Callithrix jacchus: one gene and its partners. The protein of the gene in region 7 interacts with the protein of the main gene of each other region in a biochemical or structural test. Links are inferred from orthologs where the notes say so. Each region holds a gene or a part of one and is shown on either strand. Other genes may lie near its edges. The genes, in order: MEX3C, PRDX1, NHERF1, RPL27A, DNAJA1, MAGI3 and PTEN.

Region 1 (4,013 bases), on a different chromosome or scaffold from region 7:
TCTCAAGTATCAAAATAACACTACTTGCCACTTATACCTAGAGGTCAGTCCTCCACACCATTCCTCACATTCATTGTTCCTCCACTGTTTTTCAATTTCCATTTGTTTTTGCTACCCATTTTCCAAGGCCCTCAGGGTAGATGTTCTTTTACCTGAGACTGTCACACTAAATACACTATAGTTAGTGCCATTCTACTGTTTATTAGACTGTTATCTTCTTAAGGGCAGAAAGTCTTAATTAACTTCACATTCTCAACTCAATACCACAAACTCAATACGCTGCAAAATACAAGCCTGGTACAGGGATTCCTCAATGTTCTTACATGAATGGTCAACTCATTCTGATCCAAATTGAGATGTTGTCATTTTATCCCATGTAAATATGTTTTCTCCTGGATTATTACCCTAAGTATCGCCAAAACCAAACAAACCAGGTATTTGAAACTCATTAACCAGAACAGCGACAGGCATAAACCTTTCAATGGAAAGGTCCTGCTTTGAACAGTGTCTTTAAAGTGCCAATCATCAGGCAGTCTGAAATGATCTCCTTTTTCCAGATTTCAGATGAGTTTTTATTAAAATCCTACAGATAAGAAAGAAACGAGCCAACTCTGATATGTGAAACCACCATTTCGACAAACCTCTTATTTGTGTGCACTTTAGACCACTTGGGAAAGATGAGATCATTTAAGCAGCAGCGCCATCATCTCTATTTGACCCTAACAATGCTCTCAACCTAACAGTAAAGAGGCATGCATCAACCAGGCTAAACCATATTGTCATGAGGTGGCAGCAGGTAACATCTGCCCCTTTTATAAAAGGGAAAAAGCTACCATAAAGAGCTTAGGACCTTCCCTAAAAATGTCGGATACAGAGGTACCCCCGGCATCCCCTTCCCCCACCTTCGCAAATCTACTCCTGGAATCTGAGACACAGGTCCTTTGTCTGAACAATGTGGGAGGAGTCTGTCTGCAGTACTGGTGTGCTGGCAAGAAGAGAATTAACTGAAAACTGTATAAACGCATAAAGTTTCTTAATTACCTTACTGTCCAATTTTTCTTCATCCTGCACACTGAACGGTTCTAAAAGATAGCCAGTGTGTCTTTCGGAGGGTTAAAACGTTATCGAGAGGAATACAGTAAGACCGGCGGCAGAGTTGGGCTGCTTTTCCAAAGCTAAGTTTCTGAACGGCGGAGGAGCGCGGGGGATGGCGGTGATACCAACCATTTAAACATCCCTTCCCTCCTCGGTGAGCTCTGTCTACAGGCCTCCATTTCTGTCCTTTTCTCCATCTGAACAAGCTCTCTCTCGTAAGGGAGGCTGAGCGCTTTAGGAGACACTCGGCAGCGCAAACTTGCAATCTCGATGCTTTCCATACCCAACAGCGAGCCCACAACTCCTAGAGCCCGTCCTTTTACCACCTCACAGGTTTCTGGTGCCATGCCAGCCTGGTGTTCCACGAATACAGCCCAAGTAACGTGAACACCACTGGACTGGGTCGCCGAGAAACTTCGCACTTTTTACCCGACGAAACAAGAGGAAAAGCGTGGGTTTTCACAAGGTGACCCATCTTCACATCTGGTCGACCCTCGGCTCCTCCCAGACCCCTTCGCCGTGGACGTGGGGGCCTCGCCGGGTTCGCCTTTTCCGCCACACGCTCGTTTCCCTCGCCTCCCCACCCACGCCCGGGGCCATGCCCAGCTGGACCTCCCCACCCTTGCACTCACCCTGACGGCCGACGATCTCGGCGACGTGCTCGGAGCTGGGCACCGGGACGCACTCGGTGGTGTTGACGCTCTTCCTCCGGAGCAGGGCCGCCTGCTCCCCGTTCAGGGCGGCCGCCGCCGCCCCGCAGCCGCCGGGGCCGTAGGCGTGGGATAGCATCGCCGCCATCATGCCCTGGGCATCGTCCCCTCCGTATAGCACCCCCGCCGCCGCGGCCGCCGCTTCCCGGGCATCGAAGCCGGTGGCTGGCAGCAGCACAGACCCCAGGGACCCGCTTGGGATCGGCTGGGTCTGAGAGGCGGTGGCCGCGGGGGGCGACAGCAGCAGCAGCGACGACCGGTCCTCCTCCTCGGCTTCTTCCAGCTCCTCCTCCTCCAGCAGGTCTCCGTCCAGCTCCGCTTCCTCCCCCTCCTCCTCGTCCTCCTCCAGCTCCAGCTCGGCCGCCTCCGGGGCCCCGGGCCGGCCGGGCGGAGCCCGCTCCTCTGGAGACAGCCCGGCCGCCCGCCGGGCCTGGCCCTGCGCCGCCGCCGCCGCGGTCCGAAGCGCCGGGGCGCCGGGCTCCGCCGGGCTGGGGTCGTCGAGGCCTAGCGTGGCCAGGCGCTCCCTCAGCAGGAGCCCGTCCCCCTCGAGCTCCGGGCCGCCCGAAGGCGGCGGCAGCGGCGGCGGCGGGGGCGGCTGCGGCAGGGGGGCCGGGGCCGCCGCCAGGGCCAGGGCCGCGGAGCTGCCGCTCGGCATCGCGGCGGCGCGCTGTCAATGGTGGCGGCGGCGGCGGCGGCGGCCAGGTCAGGCGCGGCGGGCGGCGAGCCCCATGGCGGACAGGGCCCGGGCCCTATTCAGCGCGCAAACACCTTTCCTCTGGGGAGGCGGCGGGGCTGGGCACCCAGGCCGAGGAGCGCCAGGGCCGCCCGGAGACCGGAGAGGGCGGGGTGGAGGGGCAGGGGAAGGAGGCAGAGGTAGGTAACTAGGTGGGTGGGTGGGGACGGCGGCGGGGCGGGCTGGTGGAGGTGGCAGCGGCTCCCCTCTCAGGGTTTCTTTTGTTTCATGGCCTTAACCAGCCCCCTGCGCGCGCGGCGGCGGCGGCGACGCCCCACGCCGCTCTCCGAAGGAAGCCGGCGCGCTTTGATTGGCTGCTTTTAATCACTGGGAGCCCGCCTTCTCCTCCTTCAGCTTTCCAACTCCGTTCCCCAGCCCCACCCCCCACCCTCCTTCGGGCCCCGCCCTTCCCCTCCCCAGAACTCTCTGATTGGGTGACCGGGACCAGCCAGTTCCCGAAGCCTACTCCTTTCGTCCTCTCCCCGCCCACCTCCCTCTCCAGTCCCTCCTGGCACACGCGGAGAGGGACTATGATTGTTAGATTTACATGTCACTCTTTGTGACGTCCCTGGCGGGGGCGGGAAAAAGGAGGGGGAAGAAGGCGCTGCTGCAGAGGCTAAAACTAGGGGCTGAGCGGGGTTTTGGCTAGGGCACGTGTGGTTGAAGCGCACACCTGGATTTATTTTCTCCCAACACTGTAGCCCACCTGGCTGCGTTCTTTTAGGGAAGGCACTGTGTGAGCAGCCTGGAGCAGAGCCGCTAGCGCAGGCTTTAGGGCGCTGTTTCCTAGGGTTGAGGAAGAGATCGCGCCCTTCTGAGGAAGGGCCTAAGGAGAGTCTTGGAAGGAGGGGCCGCGCAGTATCTTCCTATCCCCTTGCGGGGGCGGTTTTCTGAGCCGCGTGGCTCCCAGGCCTTCCCTCTCGGACCCAGGAATGCTCCTCCCACGGGGCCCGGCCCTCCCACCCTGCCAGCAGGGTGGTTACATCAGCAGCCTGGAGATGCTGAACTTCGGTCCTTTGGGGCTTTTTTTTTTTTTTTGAAAAGGAGTCTTGCTCTGAAGCCCAGGCTGAAGTGCAGTGGCGCGATCTTGGCTCACTGCAACCTCCGCCTCCCGGGTTTCAGTAATTCTCTTGCTTCAGCCTCCCGAGTAGCTGGGACTACAGGCACACGCCACCACGCCCACCCAGTTTTTGTCTTTTTAGTAGAGATGGGATTTCATTATGTTGGCCAGGCTGGTTTCCATCTCCTGACCTCAAGTGATCCACCCGCCTCGGTCTCCCAGTGTTGGCATGACAGGCGTAAGCTACCGCGCGCGGACCTTTGGGGCTATTAAAGGAAGTGAATCCCGTTTCCTCCTCTCTAGACACTCTTCCCACAGTATTGTTAGGTAATCTCACGCAATGGCTATAATTTCTAGAGGTTATTATTTTTGTTGTTGTCGAGACAAGAGTCTCACTCTGTCGCCCAGGCTAGAG
Region 2 (3,951 bases), on a different chromosome or scaffold from region 7:
CACGCCTTTAATTCCAGCACTTTGGGAGGCTAAGGCGAGCTGTTGGAGACCAGGCTTTGGAAACCAGCGTATCCAACAAGGTAAAATTCCATCTCTTCTAAAAATACCAAAAATTAGCTGGGCGTGGTGACGGGTGCCTGTAGTTTCAGCTACTCCGGAGGCTAGGCGGAAGAATCGCTTGAGCCTGGCATGCGGAGGTTGCAGTAAGCCAACACCCGGTCACTGCACTGCAGCCTGGGAGACAAAGTGAGTGAGACTCCGTCTCAAAAAAAAAAAAAAAAAAAGCGTAATAGAACAAACTTTAGTTTTAGGAACTAGACTTTAGATTGAAGATCTAGTTACAGTTGACACGTCCTTGTTTTATGGGAGGCTATAACGGTTTCCAGGGTAGCAAACAATTATGAATGATTTTGTGAGTGTGTTTGTCGGGGGTAGTCATCAGGAAATGTCTGAGGCCTTTTGCCTAACCGTGTGTGATGGATGGCTAATGTGTGATGTTTTGACCCAAGATTGTAAAGTCAGTTATTCATCCGTAGAGAGGATGGTTGTGTACCTGAGTCAGCCTCCCAAGCTGAACTTTCACAAGTTTAGGTGTCCTCAGACTTTATTTTCCTTTACAACAGAAAGCAGCAACCCTGTAATCAAAGTGAACAGTGAAGGAAACGATGTAAGCTATGAGGGTTACTCAGGAGTTACTCAGGATCTGAGGTGGGGTTAAGGTTGCGAATTTAAGAAATATTTGGATATACAGTTCTCAGGGCTTGGTATGGTTCGACGTGGTCCTCCGTGGGCAGCAGCTAGGAGGCTTACTCCGGGTTGGGCATTGAGGGTACAGTGCGCAGTGGTCCTGGAAGTAAAGAGAATCCTGGTTTTCCGCAGAGATCTAGGATCAACCTAAACGTTTGGGTTTGGGAGCGGCCACAAGGGTGCCTCACTCCAACCTCTGCAGTCCGCAGTAGGGAGGGGGATTAGCATTTCCGCGCCCGCCCCCAAGAGGGAAAGCGCCGAGTCATTCTGGCGGGGCGCGCCAGGGTGGGGCGGGGTTCCTGCCACATCCCCCTCCCCTCTCTCCTCCTCCTGCACCCCCGGCCTGCTTCGACTCTCGCGAGAGCCGTAATAGCTATAAAGGCTGCGCCTCGAGCGAGTTTTGCGCGTCCTCTTTCTGTCCGGTGGTTTGTTCTCTGAGGCTTGTGTCAGGACTGGTGAGTGTGAGCGGCGCGGCCTTAGCTGAGCGAGGTGCGGCGCGTACTTGCCTTTTGCCTCTTCCTCCTCCTGTCCGGGGCCCGTCTGCGCTCGGCTTGGGGTTCTGTGGTGCTTGAGGGAGCGGGGGGAGGCCCGGCGCCCGAGACTGCCTGAGCGCTACGTGCACCCCTCACGTGGCCCCCCCGCGTAGGTGGGGGCACCTGGTTGAATCCCAAGTCTAGCGTGGATGCTAGTCGAGTCTTACCCCGGCAACCCGAGCACGTGAAGCGGCATCGGGGCGGGCTGGTGGTGGGGTCTCTAACTCTAGCTTCCTGCTGGGCTGGGTGGGTTCGGGAAGGTTCTGGAATGGACCTGTGTCCGGACTAGTGGCTGTAGAAAACAGCCTATACTTGTCTATCTTGTGATAGGGTAAAGGCTGTTCCGGGTCCTGAGCCTTGACTAGATTCGGAGTTTCGGGTACTTTCCCCATCTTTATTTTCTTGTACGTGGAATGGAATTAAGAGCCCAAATGCCCCCGCTGAAGCACTCTTTCTGCTGGTGCTTTCCCTGTGTTGGGTGTGATAGAGCCGGGTACCTGGAGTTTAGGGGTGTGGCCCTCGGCACTGAGCAGATCCCCTGAAGGGACCCGGCGCCGCCCGAAAACCCAGCAGCCTTTACCCAGAATTGGTTGGGTTTTGGACTTTCGGGCCAACTGGGAATGTAGGTTTGGACAAGAGGCCATTTATAGGGTCACCAAGTTGCAGTATGCCTTAGTTTTTTGTTTTTGTGTTTTGTCGTTAAAGGTTTTAAGGACTTTTTTTTTTTTAGGCGACTTTTAAAAAAGCAGTAAAAAGTTGGCTAAGATCCTTGCTCACAGAGTTTCTTTTGGTTGTGGTATTATGAACCAAGAACTTTGGGACTTTGAGAAAACTTTGAGACCGAGGCTTAGTGGGTTAAATCTCTGGTTTTTTTTTTTTTTTTTTCTTTTTTTGAGACGGAATTTCGCTCTGTCAGCCAGGCTGGAGTGCAGTGGTGCGATCTCGGCTCAGTGCAACCTCCGCCTCCCGGGTTCAAGCGATTCTCCTGCCCGAGCCTCCCGAGTAGCCAGGATTACAGGCTTGAGACGGGGCTCCCGGCCAAGATCTCGATACTCATCTTGGTGTTGACCTGGGTGAATCCAGCGCAACATTTCTTTTCAGCAGTAAATTTGTTCTTGTTCTTATTTTCGTCCTGTGATATTAGACCCGAAGTCAGAAACCCGTTTGTGAAGGGACTTCTCGGGTGTACACAATACCTAAAGATTTGAAATTGAGCAGATGCCAATATCTTGGTCTTGTCTCTTTTTTCTTTGTGTTTTTCTTTCTTTTCTTTTGAGATCGTGTGTTGCTCTGTCGCCTAGACTGAACTGTAGTGGCGCGATCTTGGCTTACCCTCGCGGTGGCTCGCTTCTGTAATCCCAGCACTTTGGGAGGCCGATGCGAGTGGATCACTTGAGGTTGGGAGTTCGAGACCAGCCTGAGCAACATGGAGAAACCCTGTCTCTACTAAAAATACAAAAAAATTAGCCGGTTGTGGTGGCGCATGCCTGTAATCTCAGCCACTCAGGAGTCTGAGGCAGGAGAATCGCTTGTACCCTGGAGGGCAGAGGTTGCCGTGAGCCGAGATTGTGTCATTGCATTCCAGCCTGGGCAACAAGAGCGAAACTACGTCTCAAAAAAAAAGTTGTATTGGCTGTAGGTGTGTGCTGTTTTAGACACAGCTACCTGGAGAAAAGTCAAATATGCTTCTGACGTTATGAAGGCTGGTGGAGGCCCAGTAATGGGAAAGGTCAACATGATTTTTTCCAGGCCAAACAAAAGCGTTTGTGGCATTGTGCATTTGGATTCTGGTTTGAGAGTCTTCACCTGCTCCATCTCTGCTTCTGTATAATGAGTAAGATGCCTGCACAAATCATGATTCAGAAAGAGTGAGAGGTGACTTCAGTATATGAAGAAATTGCCTTGCTGTTTTTAAATGAAAACAAAGGCCGAGATTCAGAGTCTTGTTTTGTTCCACAAGTTGGAAAGCTCAGATTGCTTGAGCTTCTTACTAATACAACATTTAACGTATTCAGGGACATACTGGACAATTCCTTGATTGTTCTACAGCTAAGTCTCTTAGTAGGTGCAGGCTGCCGGTTATCTAGAAAATTAAGGCTTGTTTCTAATTCATTTCTCTTTTCCAGCTGATAGGAAGATGTCTTCAGGAAATGCTAAAATTGGGCACCCTGCCCCCAACTTCAAAGCCACAGCTGTTATGCCAGATGGTCAGTTTAAAGATATCAGCCTGTCGGACTACAAAGGTAAAAGTAATTACACTGGGCTCATTGAGATGGAGTTATTTTATATTCTAGAAATGGCATGTTAGATCTGTGTCAGTGTTGTGTTTGACTGTAAAATGTTTTGTCTCCTAGGAATAAGTATTTTGGTTGTTGCCTTCATGTTGAAGTGAAGTGGTGATTAATCAAGTGATTACAGTGTATATATCCTAGGACCAGACCACTTCTGGAGAAACCACATGCTCCATTATGTTTGGACATACTAGTTCAGTTTTCTCTTGAGTATTCCTTGTCTTTTTATTTATTTTATTTTAATTTTTGAGACAGGGTTTCATTGCATCACCCCCCAGGCTGGAGTGCAGTGTAGCAGTCATGGCTCACTGAGGCCTCTGCCTCTCTGGGCTCAGCTGATCCTCCCACCTTAGCCTCTTGCATAGCTGGGACTGTAGGGG
Region 3 (2,167 bases), on a different chromosome or scaffold from region 7:
CAGTGGCCAGATAAGATAGAGCATCTGGTACCAGCCCAGCCTGCCCCTGGGAATCCTGCACCCCACTGGCTGTAAGCAGAGTAAAGCCATGTCCTCATATTCCAAACCCAGATCCATTCTGAGACTCACTTTCCTCGCTCCTACGATTATAAGAACTTCCTAGAGTCCTCTGAGCACGTTGGTCTGAGTTCCCACTTTCCCTGGTAAATGTCGCCATTGGGGGTCCTTAGCTCACACTGGAGCTTGCAGCCTGGCACACAGGCACACTGACCACCAAGCTGAACACCCTGCTGGGTGCATCCTTCCCACAGACTTCTGCACAGCTAGGCCCTCTAGCTAAAGCTACTCAGGCTTGGGGTCACAGGGAGCCCTAGATGGCCCTCTCTTCAGTGTACCCCACCCTCCAAGGAACACCCTGGCTTGCCATTTCTCGCTTTCTACCTACAAGGGGTCCAAGGCCAGAGGACAAAACTCCCAAGGAAGACACAGAGGCTGAAGGGTTTGGAGGAACCAGCTGAATTTCTCAAAGTGTTTCCTTACAATGGTGGTGCCTGGCTCAGGGATGGGCAGGGGTAGCCAGACCCTTCCCCCTGCCACCCAGTTCTCTGAGGGTGGGAGTAGGAACAAAAGTTTAAGGCTGAGGCCATGGCCATGCCCTGGATGCAACAACCAGGAAAATCATGTTAATCAAGGAAACAAAAATTCCTCTAGACTCTGCAAAAATACTGCACTCTTTAAACAACAAAAATCAAATGAAAACAAGATACGTCAGCCACAGCTCTCAGGATAATGGATGCCCTGTCCACTGCGAGCTGCAGTTGCTGCAGTCAGAGTTCTTTGATCAGCCCTGAACCCAGTTATCACATGGGGGTGGAAGGGAAGGTGCCCTTTCATCTGGTCCCATGATCCTGGCTTGGTGTAGGTCCCAATGATGTCCCAGGCTGGGTGGCAAAGGGACACCTGGTAGGATGAGGCACTCAGTGAGGAGGAGGGAGGCAGAGTCTGCTTTCTGATTGGGGAACAGGAACACATTCACCTTCCCTAAAGTAAGGGAAGAACATCGTTCTCTAGAAAAATCATTTGTCAAGAAAGGGGATGTGGGTGCTGATTTGTATGTCGATTCAAGGGAGTAACGGGAGAGAAGGAAAAAGGTGGGGTGGAAGGCTGGCTTGGCCCTGCCAGTCACTGGGTGGCTGGCAGCGGGCGCTCAGAAGTTGCTGAAGAGTTCGTTTTTCTTGCTCCAGTCCATCTGCGGGGCCCGTTTGCTGCTGCGCTTCTGGTGGGCCCTTTCTTTGGCCACGGCCAGGGAGATGTTGAAATCCAGGATGGGGTCAGAGGAGGAGGTAGACGAGGGCACTGTGGAATCCTGTTTTGGGGGGCTGTCTTGGGAATTCAGCTGGAGAGAGAGGGGGGGCAGGAAGTTGGGAGTCAGTCCCTCATTAGGCTCCCTGGTCCTCAGCCTCAGTGAGGTGGCTCCCTTGGGGCAGTGCCCAGGGAAGCCAGGTCACAAGAACAGAATGCGGCTCAGCATGTGACTTCAAAGGCAGGCTGGTGTGCCAGGAACAAGTGGGGCCTGGGAATCGGCTTCCTGTAACCCAGTTGCCACCCCCCACATGGCTGGCCTACCTCCTCGCTGGTGTCACTGGAGGCAGTTCTCACCAGGGCTGGCCTGGGGCTCTCCAAGGCTGCCTCTGCCAGGGCTTCACGACTGTTCTCCTGGCAGAGAGGAGAGGGGTGTGGGTTGTCAGAGGGTGGGGTGTGGGGGTCCTGAGGAGGGAAGTAGGGGCCTCAGTCTAAGAGGCAGCGCTGATGTCCTGGCCCCACCCCCGATCCCACTGCCTGAGCCTGCTGGGGCTCCTTTCACATTCCTTGGAGGATCAGAGGGCAGCCTGGTTCTCCTTCGGAGGCTGGAGGGGTGTAGACCGTCATGGATTGGCTGAACTGCTCCCCTCCCTGGCCCTCTCCAAAGTGGCCTTTAGGTACTGACTTGCCTGTTGGGCCAATGACCAGGGAGGGGCTTCTTGGAATGTGGGGACACTGGGGGTCTCTTTGCTTGGCATGGGGAACCCATGTGGTGCTCCCTGTATATCCTGTGATCCACTTGACTGTTCCCCTGGATTTGACCCCAGGAATCCTGAAACCCTAACCTTGAAGCAGCAAAGGAGGG
Region 4 (4,300 bases), on a different chromosome or scaffold from region 7:
CTGAAAATAAGTTACTCTTCAGACTAGGTAGTGATATGGAAAACTGCCATGGTATTAAATAAAAAGGAGAATACAAAGGGATTTGCATACTACGATCGTTAACTTTGCAGACAGCTATGTCTCCATGTATATAAGGGTTGAAAGGTGAAAAGAAAACAGCATCGTGGTTTTCTTTTGATTTCAGTTGTTTATACTTATATTTTTTTCAAAATTTTCTTTAATGCTGTACTTTCTTTTCTTTCCTTTTTTTCTTTTTTGAGATGGAGTCTTCCTCCTGTTGCATAGGCTGGAGTGCAATGGCGCAACCTTGGCTCACCGCAACCTCCGCCTCCCAGATTCAAGTGATTCTCCTGCCTCAGCCTCTCGAGTAGCTGGGATTACAGGTGCCTGCCCCCACACCTGGCTAATTTTGTATTTTTAGTACAGATAGAATTTCTCCATGTTGGTCAGGCTGGTCTCGAACTCCCGACCTCAGGTGATCTATCTGCCTCAGCCTCCCAAAGTGCTGGGATTATAGGCATGAGCCACTGCACCTGGCCAGCGGACTATTTTCTATTATGTCTAATTTTTCAATTCTTTCTGAAATAAATTGGGATTCCTGAGTTTTTCTGTAATTCTCACTTGGAAAAAAAAAAGCAGAAACACTGCTTCTTCTCATCTTAACAGTGTTCTACTTAAAAAAGAAAAGAAATATATTTCCAAATTTCCACTCTAAAGATGGAGAGTAAGAAAACAGAGCTGGATCCATCCAGGACATTGCTGCTATTTGAAGGACTGATGTCGAATTCAGGAACCCAGCAAGGAGAGAAAGGAAGAGGGACCTGGTGATGCTGTGTTTCCAAGGCCACCTGGGAAGAGGCCTGTGGCAGCAAAAAATCAGCACACTTGCCTGCCACACCAGGCTGCTGCCTGGTGTCATCTCTTCTGTTCATTTCTCAGGGATTTTCTGAGGCCCTCATGCTCTGAGGAGGCCCAGATGCCTGAGATGTCACAAGGCCATGCTATACTTCAGAAGAGATGTCCCAGATGACCCCTCAGGAGTCATGGCCAAGGGTCATGACCCATGTGCCTAGTTGGGAGGGACAGGTCACCTAATGCCAAATATCTGGCTGCTACTCTACTTTGCAGATAGAGAACTTTGTCTGCTCTCTCAGACCTCTGTCAACCTAGGAAAAGGCATGCACAATGAACAAGCCCCACATGAGCTGTGGTTTAAGTCACCTGGTTGCCTTGTGAAGGAGAGGGAGCTGGATAGAAAACTGGGTTGAGCCAGACAACTACCCAGGGTACTCCCTCTACAACCAGGAGATCAAACCATTGATGAGAAGAATGTTAGGTGAGCACATAACCCAACAGGGAGTGCTGGGTCCACTCTGGGAGGCCTTCTGTTCAGCTGGTGGCCTGAGGGACAGAATGTAGCTTCTCCATAACCAAGGAACCTGGCAAACTATCCGGAAAGAGTGTCTCAACACCCAGAACCCCACCTCAACCCTTGCTGTCATGGTCCTCACTGTAGGCCCCAGCTCTAATACCCTGATGGTTGCCTTCCATTCCCAAGGCTCTGTCCGGCTTACCTCCATTGACAGATTATCTTCCAAGGGTAGTTTCCAGGTAGCCGAGCTCATTTGTGCACTTACTGGCCAGTGTTGATGACAAATGGAGGATGATCTCTTCTTTGACCTCGCCTCCTACTCTCAAAACCTCTCTTCCTGCTGGAGTCACATGCAATATGTGATTAAGGTTGAAGGAGAAATGAAGACCGTAATTGCTGTGAGATCAGAGAGGGAGTGGTCACTGAGACAAAAGCAGGGGATCTGAAGAGAGAAGACGAAAGGCTAGGCCCAGGCTCTGTATTTGACAATCTATGCAGCATCTGGCAAGTCACCCAGTTCTTCTGTGCCTCGGTTTTATCACCCATAAAATGAGGCTGGCAGTGCTGAACCCTAAGGCATATGCATTTTGTAAACTGCAAAGTGCTCTGAAAATGTTGGCCGTTATCCTTGTGGACTGAAGTGTCCTGGGAAGAAGCAGAATATAAGGTGGGTCTCAAAGGCTGAGGAAGATTCAAGACACGTGGTCAGTAAGAGGATGGGCACTCCGGAGTGGCAAATGGCATGAGCAAAGGCAAAAATGCAGATGGGATATAGCAAGCATCACTGCAGTAGAAAGCTTGTGTAAGGGAGAGGCTGAATTAAGGTTGGAAAGGCATGTGGGCTATATTCTGTTGGTCATAAGGCGCTATTGAACTTTTGATCAATTAAGTAAAAGAATGAAATTCATGTTTTTGGAATAATAACCTGGTGGAGGTGTGAAGGATGCAAAGATTGGAGGAGGGTTAGAATGCAGGCAGAGTGAACAAAGGAAGGTGTTGTAAACTCCAGATCAGAGAAATGATGAAGGCCTGAATGAAGGCAAGAATACTAAGGCTTAAACAGAGGAAGCACACTGGAAAGATATAGATACAAAAGGATAGAGTGGCAGTACAGTAGAAGAGAAGGCTTGGGGACAATTTTCATTATCTAGGTGGACAATGGTGCCACTCACCAAGATAAGAGAATAAAGGAGAAGGCACCAGTGAGCAGGGAAGATTGAGTTCTTTGATATGTTTACTTTGGTAGAATGTCCAAGGAATACTAACCAGTAACTAAGTGATCATAAGGGTGCTGAGCTCAGCAATAGGGATGTGAATGGAAGCCACCCAAGAAGATCATGTACTGTGAAAAGGTAAGGACAAGAACAGAAGGCTGAGGAACATCAACATTTAAATGGTGGACCATGCTGGAACCTGCAAAGACTGAGAAATGACCAGAGTAGGAGGAAGGCGAGAATTTCTCTAGAAAAAGATGCCAACAGATTAAAGCACAACAGAAAGAACAAGTGGTATGAAGAATAGGAAAAATTCAATTTGGCAATTGGTTCATTAATGACATTAGTAAGAACAATTCCATTGAAGTTGCAGGCTGCAAGCTAGATTGCAGTAAACAATGGATGGGAAGGTGCAAATGGGCAGGATTTGTGGACTTTCGGGAAACTTTGCTATGAAGGAAAGGGCAAGGGTAGTAGAGACATGGGAGAGTTTAGGCTATTTTAGCTAAAATATATTTTAGCTGAAGGGGACAAGACAAAGAAAAAATAAATGCGGCCGGGTGCGGTGGCTCAAGCCTGTGGTCCCAGCACTTTGGGAGGCCGAGGCAGGTGGATCACGAGGTCGAGAGATCTCCCGATCCTGGTCAGCATGGTGAAACCCCGTCTCTACTAAAAATACAAAAAATTAGCTGGGCATGGTGGCGCGTGCCTGTAATCCCAGCTACTCAGGAGGCTGAGGCAGGAGAATTGCCTGAACCCAGGAGGCGGAGATTGCGGTGAGCCAAAATCGCGCCAGTGCACTCCAGCCTGGGTAACAAGAGCGAAACTCCGTCTCAAAAAAAAAAGAAAAAATAAATGCACACACATATACAGAGAATAACTAAGGTGATGGGATTTTTCCCATGGGATATATTAACAGACTAGTGAGGGTATGGGATCTTGAACACTAGTTGAAGGAACCGACTTAAGGCAGAAGATATGCTATTAGTGAAGACAGGGAGGGGAGGGTAAGTTCATTTATTCACTCGACAATCACTAGTTGAGCATGGAAAAAAGCAAACAATTCTTGAACACATAAGGAATTAGGTCTAGTAGGGAAGACAAACATAGGTCAATAAATTACATAAGAGCTGTACCAGATTGTGTTCCTTGTGTGGTGGTACAGGAGGGGAAGTGAGCAACTATGTCTGCATTGTCCAGGAAAGGGTCACAGGCGTGTTAGGTAGATTCTGGAGAAAATTCGATTATGGCATTTACTTTTACTTATTTACTTTGTATGTAGAGACGAAGGTCTGACTATGTTGCCCAGGCTAGTGTTGAACTCCACGCCTCAAGCAATCCTCCTGCCTCAACTGCCCAAAGTGTTGGGACTACAGGCGTGAGCCACCGCGCCTGGCCTAAATGCAGCATTTAGAAAAAGTATTTATAATGTCTGGGTTTAAAGGACTATAAAGCGACCAACAGGCATCTAAGTCCCTGAAGCATAGCAAGTTGCTCAAACTTGAAAGGACAACCAAGATGACAGCAGAAGAGCAAAAGAGAAAGGAAGCCGAAGTGCCACTCAGGAGGGTGGGAGGGGGAGGAGGCATTTCGGGAGCCGCCCGAGACTTAGGAAACTGAGCGAGACACCAGGTGGGCACATTGAGGGTTAAAGGGCCTCGTGGTTCCGCACGCGGCCGGGAGACAAACTAGCAGCCACTATCACCAGCCCCGG
Region 5 (3,993 bases), on a different chromosome or scaffold from region 7:
CTCAAAGTGAAACTTAATGGCTTGCCCATTCATTCTAAAACTGGGTCTGCTCATCAGCCCTTGTTTGTATACGCTATACTGGGAATAAAGTGAGACCAATTTCTCTTGAACACTTTATTCCTACCTATGAGCAGTATTTCTAGAGCCCATAGACCACTTTCCTGATAAATATATTAAATACATATATTTTGACACAATAAAGCTGAAGCAAGATTAGATCGGTGGCAGGCAATGAGCCAGTTTTCAGCCCTGCTCTCTTGGCTTGCCATATAAGCTTGAAGAAGTTTTAGGTTTCTGAACTTTAACTCACTTTCATTTGAAAAAGACCACTGTATCTACCATCAAATTCCTTTGGGGCATGATGGAACATCAAATAGGATCTGTAAAAAGGGCTTTGAAAATTATATTGCTATACTTTGTTCTCATAATTTGCTTTTTTTGAGATGGACTGTGCTGCCCAAGCTGGAGTGCAATGATACAATCCCAGCTCACTGCAACCTCTGCCTCACAGGTTCAAGTGATTCTCCTGCCTCAGCCTCCCAAGTAATTGGGATCACAGGCCCGTGCCATGACGCTTGGCTAATTTTTGTAATTTTTTTTCTGAGACAGTTTCACTCTTGTTGTACAGGCAGTGTGCAGTGGCACAATCTTGGCTCACTTCAACCTCCACCTCCTGGGTTCGAGAGATTCTCCTGTCTCAGCCTCCCAAGTAGCTGGGATTACAGGTGCCTGCTTAATTTTGTATTTTTAGTAGAGATGGGGTTTCACCATGTTGGTCAGGCTGGTCTCGAACCCCTGACCTCAGGTGATCCACCCACCTCAGCCTCCCAAAGTTTTGAGATTACAGGCATGAGCCACAGCACCCAGCCATTAATTATTGTATTTTTTTAGTAGAGACAGGTTTTCATCACCTTGGCCAGGCTGCTCTCAAACTCCTGACCTCAGGTGATTCACCTGCCTCGGCCTCCCAAAGAGCTAGGATTACAGGTGTGAGCCACCATGCCCGGCCTGTTCTCATAATTTATGTTTGATAATATCTAAGATTTCTGGAAGCAGTCATTTGCTACCACTCGATTGGCTCTTTTTTATATCCCTTAAATCTCATTTTTAAAAAAAGACACCATAAATCAGAGGCAGCTTATGGTCAGTCTGCAACATTATACCACGTAAACACGCATTTAAAATGGGTGATTTCTCAAAGATCTGCTGTGACCAACAGCTACTTTTAATTAGCTGCATAAGGACTAGTTTCTTCTTACCTCTCCTTTCTCTCTGCATCCTTCCTCCTCCTCCAAAAAACATATCAAAGATGTCCATGGGAGAGCCAAAACCGCCACCTGCTCCACCCTCTTTAATTGCCTGTTCTCCTCCTTTGTCATATAATTCCCTTTTCTTTGCATCAGAGAGAACTTCGTAAGCTTGAGATATCTGTTTAAACTGTTTGAGAAAAGAGGAGTGAATTTCATTTTTTTTTTAAAAAACAGGTATTACCTAGCCACTATATTACACTTATCTTAGCTAAAAAGGCAGAGAAAGGATCATAGTTACTATATTAGACACTCAATTTCAGGCCTTAATAGAAATACTACACATCTGACAAAGAACTATTATTCAGGTATGTTTAAGAGTATGTACTACTTGCCTTCTCTCCTTCATTTGGATTCTTATCAGGATGGTACTTCAAGGCCAGTTTCCTATAAGCCTTTTTCAATTCTTCCTGAGTAGCATTGGGTTTGACTCCCAAAACATCGTAGTAAGTGGTTTCTTTCACCATCTTCTACTGCCTGAAATAAGAAAATGCAACTTTAACTGGCAGTTTTAATTAGTAAAAATGAGAGCTAAGGCCGAGCAATCTGCTCTTTGCCAAATCCGATTGTAAGAACACCCCCTTCCTAAATTTCACCAAAAAGGTAACAATTCCTGCGATTCAGCTATAAATTTGAACAGACAAAACAATCTAATAATCATTATCAGAAAATAATTCAAGAGCCGTGTTCTAGCAGCTGGTTCCCACTCTCCCACACCAAAGCTTCCATACTAATAGAACACAACTATTATCTGGATTCTTCCCGTTTGCCCTAGAGTTGGTGACAGCTGTAATCAAAAGGGGCACTAATAGATTCAGTCTATTGGTCATTACACTATCACCGTCTTTGGTAAATCTGATAAACTCCACATACTCCCCAGAAAAAGCCAACTATCTGGGCACACAGTGGCGGGGGAAGTGGTTTATAAAACCGGTTACCCGCTCCACACAGCAAGCCCCCTACCGCCCACGGCTTACAGCTTCTCCACGTTCACGGCCGAACCCCTCTCGCACCTCAGGCCGACAGAGTTTAACTACCAGCTTTCCCCCTGCACTTGGCGCGACCGTTAAGGTTTTCTTCCTTTCTCCCTCCCACCCTGGATCCAAGTGGCGGAGGGGAAAGCCCAGCCCTCAACAAAGAAAGGGAGGGGAGACAGGAAAAGCGAAAGCCGCGGCCTCCGCCCGGCTCCCCCCGCAGCCCCTCGCCCCTGCCTCCCAGTGCGCGTGCGCAGGGTCGCCCCCCCCCCCCCCCCCCCCCGGCCAAACGAGCGTGGACGGGGAGGGGGGCCGCGGGAGCGCGCACGGAGGGGCAGCCGAACGCAGCAGCTCATCCGAGATCCAAGGTTGGGTAGGGAGGGAGGTCCAGGAAAGGTCTTGGACCCATTAACTGTGGGTGGTGCCGGGGATGGGTTGCCAGGGTACATCAGCCCTCCTAAAGGGAAATCGTGGGACCAGGAACCGATAACGCTCCTGCCCACGCGGCCAACGGCCTCTCGACCGCGGCTCCATCCGGTTTCCTGGCGCCAATGGCGCCAGCCAAGGGACTGGGGGAAGCGCGAGGGCTCAAACTCACCGGTGAGCGGACTGAGGTCGGTGTGTGAGGAAGCGGGAAGGAGCGCAGAGCTGTGCGGAGCTGTGCGCAGCTCGGGCAGCTACCGCTCCTCCACCTCTCACCGAGCGTTCTGGAAAGTTCCTCCCGGCGCGCTGCAGCCGTCGTCTTTTGTAGCCGAACCCTGGCGCGTCACTCGCCGGAAGTCCCTCCCTTCTTCGCTGCTGCCACCGCCCCGTGGTTACCTGGGCAACGGCGCGGGGGCGCACGGGTCGGGAGGAGCTGCGCCGAAAGGCCTTGTCGGGGGTGGGTGGTAGCCCGGCTTCCCGACGCTCGTGGAATCTTCTGGAGCCCTTTCCTCCAGTCAGCGAGCCCGGGAGTGCGGAAGCCTTCGGCTTTTGGGCCATGGCCCGGGAGCAGTGCAAGTCCTAGGGTTCCCAAATCAGTGGGGCGGCCGCGAGGGCGGGAAGGGCTCGAGTACAGTGACCCATCGGGAGTTTTATGTGATTGGGGAAGCTATTGGAACAAAGTCTTGCCCCGCTCCCACCCTTCTGCTGGCGCCTTTTTCTCTGCCAGGGAACCCGCTGAGCAAGAAATGCCGAGCCAGGTGGGTCTAGTCCCCAGATCAGTAGCATAGGCCTTGGGTCTTGCTGTTTTTCACGCGCGGTCCAAGATAGCATAATTCAGCAAATTGCTAAGTTATTAGGGCTTTTTGTGCAAGTCCAGGCCCCTAGACACATGTTATCTGCCCTGGACCTCGCTGACTCCTGCAGCTTAGAGCAGAGAGTCTGGGACTGAGCTGAGCAGTGAAACCTTTGAACCACGTTTGATGCACAGTAGGCCGTGGACTCCACTGGTCAGGCTTTCACCCTTTCACTCAGGCTACAGAGTAGCAGCAAGATGGCGAAAACAATTTAATTATTTGACCTGACTTTCACATTATAGGGGTCAGTGAACCTGGATGTACAATCTGCAACGTGAGCCCTTGGACCTTAAAATGATACCACGGGTGTTTAATGGGAATTGGGGTCCGCCTTTTTATTTAGGACCACAACAGATATATCAGTATCTAGCACCAAGAATGGTGGAGTTTGCCAGGCGCAGTGGCTCACGCGTGTAAGCCCAGCACTTTGGGAGG
Region 6 (3,730 bases), on a different chromosome or scaffold from region 7:
TTGAAGTAGGTTTTAGGTATTTTTCATATAGAGTTAAATAAAAACACTTCATTCTAAGAAGTATAAAACTAAATGACCTTTAAAAATAATGTGAATTGTTAGTCTAATGAAATGGAATTTTGTGACCTTGTGGTAACTGGGCTTATGTTACTATATCCATTATAAATGTCTAGTAGCTGAATTTCCAGTAAGAAACTTTTTTCTCTCCCCAATAGTGTTAAGAAAGGATTTTTTTTAGTAGCAAATTATCTATCCAAAGCTATTTTCTTTACAATGAAAGATGAAAAATGGGTATAATGATATTCAACTCTAAACAATTTCAAACTCTATGTGTAAATACAAGTATAGCTATAAACGTCTTCCTGATTTTTAGGACTCTGAATGTTTGTAACTTGGAGAGAGAAAATCTATTTGAGGGCTCAGTCTGTGATGGATCTAGCTCCACTATCAGAAAGCAACATTAAACCAATCTGATGGTAAAAAAGAAATGCAGGCCATGAACTGCTTTTTTTTTTTAATATCTATATAAAAAATAACGAGCAATTTACAGATCTTTCTCTAATCAGAACCTCAAGTGTATATATAAAGGTACTGTACAATATATAAACATTTACAACCAGTACATCCATATTTTGCTCAGCATTCCAAGGCCACATTGCTAAGTCAGTATATAGTCAGTACAGAGGTTACTTAGAAAGGAAGAGCCACATAGGACAACATAGGACATCAAAGTTATGTCACCGTTAACAAAAATAGGATTTGTTATCACTATCTGTGGACTATAGGGAAAATAAATAATTTCTGTGGTACTAAATTCTTAGTATTTATCAAGCCTCCTAATAATTTTGCTTTATTTGAATAGTTACAATAGGTGTGTAAATACAGTTCTGGATGAAAAGGGATTTCAAAAATCTCACTCTGGGAAGCATGTCTTATCTACAGGGGCTAATACAGTTGTTGGGTTAAAGAGTTTCACAGTCAGACTCCCAGAGGGAAGGACCTGGACATAATGTGCTTCACAACAAGATGAACCCAGGGTGACAGAACAAGTGTGTTCACACACTCCATAAGAGAGTTTTTTATTTTCAGAAGGTGCCTTTATTTATAGATGCTACTGAATGCTGCTTCAGGGAACTGAAAAACCTGATCTATTTTACGGAAGTTAACAGTCTCCAACTTCTAAGAAACACGTTTAACTAGACTTTTTAAAAGAATTCTGAAAATGTGTACAAGCTAAGCAGATGTTTAGTCTCCCTTTCTTGTTTTTAAGTAAGAAAGTTAATGTAGCTAAAAGTTAAATAAGATCCAGTAAGTACTGTCTACACTTTTGTCCTTACTTGCTGGGTAATACCTTACATAGGTTGCTCTAAACACCCAAGCTTGTACACCTGCTACCAGAAGAGTTGGTACCTGGACTGTGAAACTGGTTTCGTGGTTAAGTCCCTCACATGATGTATATGTTTCCTTTTCAAATATGCATTATGTATTAAAGACTAATGACTTTAGTAGTAGGTAAAGCCAAAATATCCAGAAATAGTTGGTGGTTTTTCTTCAAAGAGCAATAAACACTATTTTCCACATGCTTCTTTATGGTTTCATAATGAAATAACAAATAAAAAGGGTGACCTGAGATGCCGTAACTGTACATCAATGTTGGATAACACAGCAGGAGATGGACTCTATTGCTTTAAGTACTTTCTCATTTCAAACATTCAGTTGTAAGTACTATCTTTAACACTTACTTGAAACAACTTATCCAGCCAAATTAAAATAAAGCCATAAGAAAGCATCAGTATTGGACTACATTTTTTTTCCTGTGAAGTTAGTGATGTTTGGGGGGTTTATTTTTAAACTGGGACATCATCAGTAGCTGTTGGAAGAGACAAGTGCCATCTTTAATGGTGAGTTGACAGTCTCTTCCTCTGCAAGGACTCAAATATTTCTCTCTGTAAACATGCAACATGCTATTGAGGACATCAACTTCCAAGCCAAACCTAACTTGTTCTTTACTGTGGAAATAGCTGAACGAGGATAAAAACAGACATGATACAGTAGATAACTTGGCACAAATACAAAGTGAGTTGTGACCACACTGTTAATATCAACATTTGTTCAGACACTCATTAAGACGAGCTGGGCAGCCTGAGCAGGGCGGATCAGATGAGCATGTGGATGCAGCTCCTTCCTGAGTGCAAGGCAGGACAGCCAGCCAGGGGGACAGTTGGTTCTTAGCAATCCTAAGGCCCTTCATGCAGCCTAGGTAACTTGATGCTCACATTAACATGTACTTATCTGTTTCAGAATATCTGAAAAGAAAAAGGCTTTTTTTTTTTTTTTTTTCTGGAAAAATGCTGCTGTAAGAAAAGATTACAACTTGTGTTTCTTTGTTTTATACTAAAGGTTACTGCCGTTTCTCAGCCACACCAGTAGTGCCTGCGACTTTATTTCCACTCGGCACCTTCCAGGGCCCCGGAGTTATCGGTGTTTTCTTAACTGGAGAACTACTTTCAGGTTTGAATCTTCCAGTCTCTTTGCTTCTGTCAGCTGCCTCTAGTTCTCTCCCTTTGTGATCTTCTATTCTGTTTGAAACTATCTTCTCTGCAGGTTCTTGCTTCAGCCTCTTTTCTGCTATCTGGACATTTTCTCCTATTTTATCATTACTAGAACTTGTTTCTCCTGTGGTTACTTTCTTTCCTTTTTCATTTTCAGATACTACTTTACTTGTAGTGTTACTAGTCTTTCTGGATTGAAGAGACTTCTCAACCATTCTTTTGCTTTTTTTCTCTGGAGACCTTGTTCTACTTTTTTCCAGCTGATTCTGCTTTGCATCTTTCCTGATGACGCCTGACTTTTCCTTCCCATCTGGGATCTCCTCAGCATTATCGCCTGCACGGCCTGCTATTCTTCGACTCTTACCCTCTAATAATTTGGCCTTAGCATTTGCTGGATCTTTGCTTCCTTCAATTTTTTGCTGCTTCTTCGGGCTGGCAGACCGACCTCTGCTTTTTCTGCACTGATCTTGTCCAGACCTTGCCCTGGTGCTGACCTGACAACTTTTATTTTCCCCCTTGCTGGGGCTGAGGGATCGATCTCTGGGTCTTCTTTTGAGGTCATTTTTTAGAGGACTAGGAATCTTATCCAAATGTTCCTCTGAATGCTGATTGGCTGGCTTTTTGGGACTAACTGATCTACCTCTTCTGGTAACACCATTTTCTACTTCTAATAGATTTTTCTTGTTACTGTGCCCATGACTGCTGGGTGGATCCCTCTTACTCACATTTTTCTGGAGAAGAGACTGATGCTTTACCTCGGGCTGATTTTCATGTAAAGTGCTTTTCTTTTCAGGCACAATGTCCTTTAATTCTTCTGCCTTTTCACATATCTGAACTCTCATTAAAGATTCTTCAGTTACTGGCATGTGAGACTCTTCAAATATGGAAGCAGAGTGTGAAGATGGGGGTAATGGTGACTGTTCATCATAAATCACATTTGAAGATAAAGGATTATTAATTTCCCAATCACCTAAAAAAGTGATTTGAATGGAACATTAAATTTTAGAATTAGAAATAGGCACAATACATTTTGAACTCTGACAGCCATCTGAATTGTACTGACTGCTTAAAAAGCTTATGAGTATTTTATACAGCCTGTATATGTTTATAACATATTTCTATAAAGGCAGATGTATTTAGACATCTGTTCATACATGAAGGATAGGTTATTTATATAG
Region 7 (3,500 bases):
ACCTAACATATAGGGTTATTTTGACAGTTATTTTCACTATGCATGTAAAGGCCCTTGGCTCTCTGTTTAGACCACGTTATGAGGTTACTGTCCCTCTCCTTCCTTCCTTTAGGTGAAGTTTTTAGGGCTCATAAATTCTAAATATCAGTGTTGATCAGTAGTTTGTGTGTGTGTAGTGTTTATATCAAAAAATACATTGAAGTCGGGCACAGTGGCTCACGCCTAAAATCCCAACACTTTGGGAGGCCAAGGTAGGCAAATCACCTGAACTAAGGAGTTTGAGACCAGCCTGGGTAACATGGTGAAACCCTGTCTCTCCAAAAAAATATATAAAAAGTAAACTAGCTGGGGGTGGTGGCATGTACCCATAGTCCCAGGTACTTGGAAGGCTGAGGTGGGGGGTCACTTGAGCCTGGGAGTTCGAGGCTGCAGTGAGCTGTGAAGGTGCCACTGCATTCTAGCCTGGGTGACAGAGCAAGACCCTGTCTCAAAAAAAACAAAAAGAAAAAGAAAGAGGAAAAGAAAAAAAAAGAAAAGGAAAGGAAGGAAGGAAAAGAAAAAAGAAGAGAGGGAAGGAAGGAATTGATTTTTAGGTAACTAGTAAGAGAAACATTCTTTTTGAACTTAGCCATTTGTGAATTGAATTTTATAATTGAAAGGCTATATTATGTAAACTATTGATAGCTTTCAATCTTCATTTATTTTGTAGAATTATTTAGTTAATGTTTGCAGCTTATATTCTTTAAAAAATAAATTGAGGCCAGGCATGGTGGCTCATACCTGTAATCGTAGCACTTTGGTGGTTGAGGCAGGTAGATTGCCTGAGCTCAGGAGGTTGAGGCCGGTATGGGCAATATGGTGAAACCCCATCTCTACTAAAATACAAAAAATTAGCTGGGTTTGGTGGTGCACACCTGTAGTCCCAGCTGTTCAGGAGGCTGAGGCACGAGAATTGCTTGAAGCCAGGAGGCAGAGGTTGCAGTGAGCCAAGATCATGCCACTACACTCCAGCCTGGGCAACAGAGCAAGACTTTGTCTCCAGAAATAAAAACAAATAAATAAATAATATTAACATCCTGATAGTCTATTAGTATGTTAATTTTGGTACCTAGCAAGAAAGAAAATGTTGAATATCTTAATAAGAAGAGGGTCATTTAAAAGGCCTCTTAAAAATCATGTTTGTTACGTGCTTAAAAATTAGTGTGTTTATCTGCAAAATGGAATAAAAAAGTTAATCTGTTAAAAATGCCTTTCACTAAATAATTTAAGATGAGTCATATTTGTGGATTTTCATTTTAAATTTTCTTTCTCTAGGTGAAGCTGTACTTCACAAAAACAGTAGAGGAGCCGTCAAATCCAGAGGCTAGCAGTTCAACTTCTGTAACACCAGATGTTAGTGACAATGAACCTGATCATTATAGATATTCTGACACCACTGACTCTGATCCAGAGAATGAACCTTTTGATGAAGATCAGCATACACAAATTACAAAAGTCTGAATTTTTTTTTTTATCAAGAGGGATAAAACACCATGAAAACAAACTTGAATAAACTGAAAATGGACCTTTTTTTTTTTAATGGCAATAGGACATTGTGTCAGATTACCAGTTATAGGAACAATTCTCTTCCTGACCAATCTTGTTTTACCCTATACATCCACAGGGTTTTGACAACTTGTTGTCCAGTTGAAAAAAGGTCGTGTAGCTGTGTCATGTATATACCTTTTTGTGTCAAAAGGACATTTAAAATTCAATTAGAATTAATAAAAATGGCACTTTCCCATTTTATTCCAGTTTTATAAAAAGTGGAGACAGACTGATGTGTATACGTAGGAATTTTTTCCTTTTGTGTTCTGTCACCAACTGAAGTGGCTAAAGAGCTTTGTGATATACTGGTTCACATCCTACCCCTTTGCACTTGTGGCAACAGATAAGTTTGCAGTTGGCTAAGAGAAGTTTCCAAAGGGTTTTGCTACATTCTAATGCATGTATTCAGGTTAGGGGATTAGAGGGAATGCTCAGAAAGGAAATACATTTTATGCTGGACTCTGGACCATACACCATCTCCAGCTATTTACACACACCTTTCTTTAGCATGCTACAGTTATTAATCTGGACATTCGAGGAATTGGCCGCTGTCACTGCTTGTTGTTTGCGCATTTTTTTAAAAGCCTATTGGTGCTAGAAAAGGCAGCTAAAGGAAGTGAATCTGTATTGGGGTACAGGAATGAACCTTCTGCAACATCTTAAGATCCACAAATGAAGGTATATAAAAATGTCATAAGAAACACAGCAACAATGACTTAACCATATAAATGTGGAGGCTATCAACAAAGAATGGGCTTGAAACATAAAAATTGACAATGATTTATTAAATATGTTTTCTCAGTTGTAATGACTGCTCCATCTCCTGTGTAATCAAGGCCAGTGCTAAAAGTCAGATGCTATTAGTACCCACATCAGTCAACAACTTACACTTAATAGTTTCCAATCATATACCTGCTGTGGATGCTTCATGTGCTGCCTGCAAGCTTCTTTTTTCTCATTAAATATAAAATATTTTGTAATGCTGCACAGAAATTTTCAATTTGAGATTCTACAGTAAGTGTTTTTTTTTCTTTGAAGATTTATGATGCACTTATTCAATCCAATAGCTGTCAGCCGTTCCACCCTTTTGACCTTACACATTCTATTACGATGAGTTTTGCAGTTTTGCACATTTTTTAAATGTCATTAACTGTTAGGGAATTTTACTTGAATACTGAATACATATAATGTTTATGTTAAAAAGGACATTTGTGTTAAGAAATCAGAGTTGCAGTAAACTTTCAGCACTGCACAAAAAAAAGACATTTGATTTTTCAGTAGAAATTGTCCTACATGTGCTTTACTGGTTTGCTATTGAAAGAATAGGGGTTTTTTTAATGTGCAGTGTTGAATCATTTCTTCATAGTGCTACCCCAAGTTGGGACTAGGGCTTCAATTTCACTTCTTAAAAAATATCATATATTTGATATGCCCAGACTGCATACGATTTTAAGTGGAGTACAACTACTATTGTAAAGCTAATGTGAAGATACTATTAAAAAGGATTTTTTTTTCCAGAAATTTGGTGTCTTCAAATTATACCTTCACCTTGACATTTGAATATCCAGCCATTATATTTCTTAATGGTATAAAATTTCATTTTCAATAACTTATTGGTGCTGAAATTGTTCACTAGCTGTGGTCTGACCTAGTTAATTTACAGATACAGATTGAATAGGACCTACTAGAGAAACATTTATAGAGTTTGATGGCAAATAGATTAGGCAGAACTTCATCTAAAATATTCTTAGTAAATAATGTTGACATGTTTTCCATACCTCGTCAGTTTCATGCAAAAATTTTTAAATTTTTAACAAAGCTCTTAGGATTTACACATTTATATTTAAACATTGATATATATTGATTGATTGCTCATAAGTTAAATTGGTAAAGTTAGAGACAACTATTCCTAA

The links.
Region 1: of the proteins of PTEN (region 7) and MEX3C, one has a biochemical effect on the other in vitro, tested with the Homo sapiens proteins (2 studies listed by BioGRID). The link is inferred for Callithrix jacchus from reciprocal best matches to the Homo sapiens genes PTEN and MEX3C.
Region 2: the proteins of PTEN (region 7) and PRDX1 form a complex in vitro, tested with the Homo sapiens proteins (2 studies listed by BioGRID and IntAct). The link is inferred for Callithrix jacchus from reciprocal best matches to the Homo sapiens genes PTEN and PRDX1.
Region 3: the proteins of PTEN (region 7) and NHERF1 form a complex in vitro, tested with the Homo sapiens proteins (3 studies listed by BioGRID and IntAct). The link is inferred for Callithrix jacchus from reciprocal best matches to the Homo sapiens genes PTEN and NHERF1.
Region 4: the proteins of PTEN (region 7) and RPL27A form a complex in vitro, tested with the Homo sapiens proteins (2 studies listed by BioGRID). The link is inferred for Callithrix jacchus from reciprocal best matches to the Homo sapiens genes PTEN and RPL27A.
Region 5: the proteins of PTEN (region 7) and DNAJA1 form a complex in vitro, tested with the Homo sapiens proteins (2 studies listed by BioGRID). The link is inferred for Callithrix jacchus from reciprocal best matches to the Homo sapiens genes PTEN and DNAJA1.
Region 6: the proteins of PTEN (region 7) and MAGI3 form a complex in vitro, tested with the Homo sapiens proteins (2 studies listed by BioGRID and IntAct, with this or other methods). The link is inferred for Callithrix jacchus from reciprocal best matches to the Homo sapiens genes PTEN and MAGI3.

The regions. Positions count from the first base shown.
Region 1 is NC_133514.1:94,394,947-94,398,959, forward strand, and holds the start of MEX3C (RNA-binding E3 ubiquitin-protein ligase MEX3C), read right to left. Parts: upstream 2,801-4,013; 5' UTR 2,461-2,800; coding exon 1,728-2,460; intron 1-1,727. UniProt on the Homo sapiens protein: E3 ubiquitin ligase responsible for the post-transcriptional regulation of common HLA-A allotypes. Binds to the 3' UTR of HLA-A2 mRNA, and regulates its levels by promoting mRNA decay.
Region 2 is NC_133508.1:82,247,095-82,251,045, reverse strand, and holds the start of PRDX1 (peroxiredoxin-1), read left to right. Parts: upstream 1-1,151; 5' UTR 1,152-1,236; intron 1,237-1,376; exon of another isoform or gene 1,377-1,659; intron 1,660-3,406; 5' UTR 3,407-3,417; coding exon 3,418-3,523; intron 3,524-3,951. UniProt on the Homo sapiens protein: Thiol-specific peroxidase that catalyzes the reduction of hydrogen peroxide and organic hydroperoxides to water and alcohols, respectively.
Region 3 is NC_133506.1:130,704,070-130,706,236, reverse strand, and holds the end of NHERF1 (Na(+)/H(+) exchange regulatory cofactor NHE-RF1), read right to left. Parts: intron 1,768-2,167; coding exon 1,627-1,767; intron 1,397-1,626; coding exon 1,208-1,396; 3' UTR 501-1,207; downstream 1-500. UniProt on the Homo sapiens protein: Scaffold protein that connects plasma membrane proteins with members of the ezrin/moesin/radixin family and thereby helps to link them to the actin cytoskeleton and to regulate their surface expression. Necessary for recycling of internalized ADRB2.
Region 4 is NC_133511.1:74,572,792-74,577,091, forward strand, and holds the start of RPL27A (large ribosomal subunit protein uL15), read left to right. Parts: upstream 1-1,500; coding exon 1,501-1,600; exon of another isoform or gene 1,601-1,693; intron 1,694-4,300. UniProt on the Homo sapiens protein: Component of the large ribosomal subunit. The ribosome is a large ribonucleoprotein complex responsible for the synthesis of proteins in the cell.
Region 5 is NC_133502.1:140,217,487-140,221,479, reverse strand, and holds the start of DNAJA1 (dnaJ homolog subfamily A member 1), read right to left. Parts: upstream 2,539-3,993; intron 2,511-2,538; exon of another isoform or gene 2,285-2,510; intron 1,876-2,284; coding exon of another isoform or gene 1,832-1,875; intron 1,785-1,831; 5' UTR 1,775-1,784; coding exon 1,643-1,774; intron 1,438-1,642; coding exon 1,260-1,437; intron 1-1,259. Other genes in the region: uncharacterized protein LOC128932268, read left to right, coding at 1,832-1,875, 2,539-3,172.
Region 6 is NC_133508.1:151,644,627-151,648,356, reverse strand, and holds the end of MAGI3 (membrane-associated guanylate kinase, WW and PDZ domain-containing protein 3), read right to left. Parts: exon of another isoform or gene 3,523-3,730; coding exon 2,402-3,522; 3' UTR 501-2,401; downstream 1-500.
Region 7 is NC_133513.1:80,559,128-80,562,627, forward strand, and holds part of PTEN (phosphatidylinositol 3,4,5-trisphosphate 3-phosphatase and dual-specificity protein phosphatase PTEN), read left to right. Parts: intron 1-1,314; coding exon 1,315-1,500; 3' UTR 1,501-3,500. UniProt on the Homo sapiens protein: Dual-specificity protein phosphatase, dephosphorylating tyrosine-, serine- and threonine-phosphorylated proteins.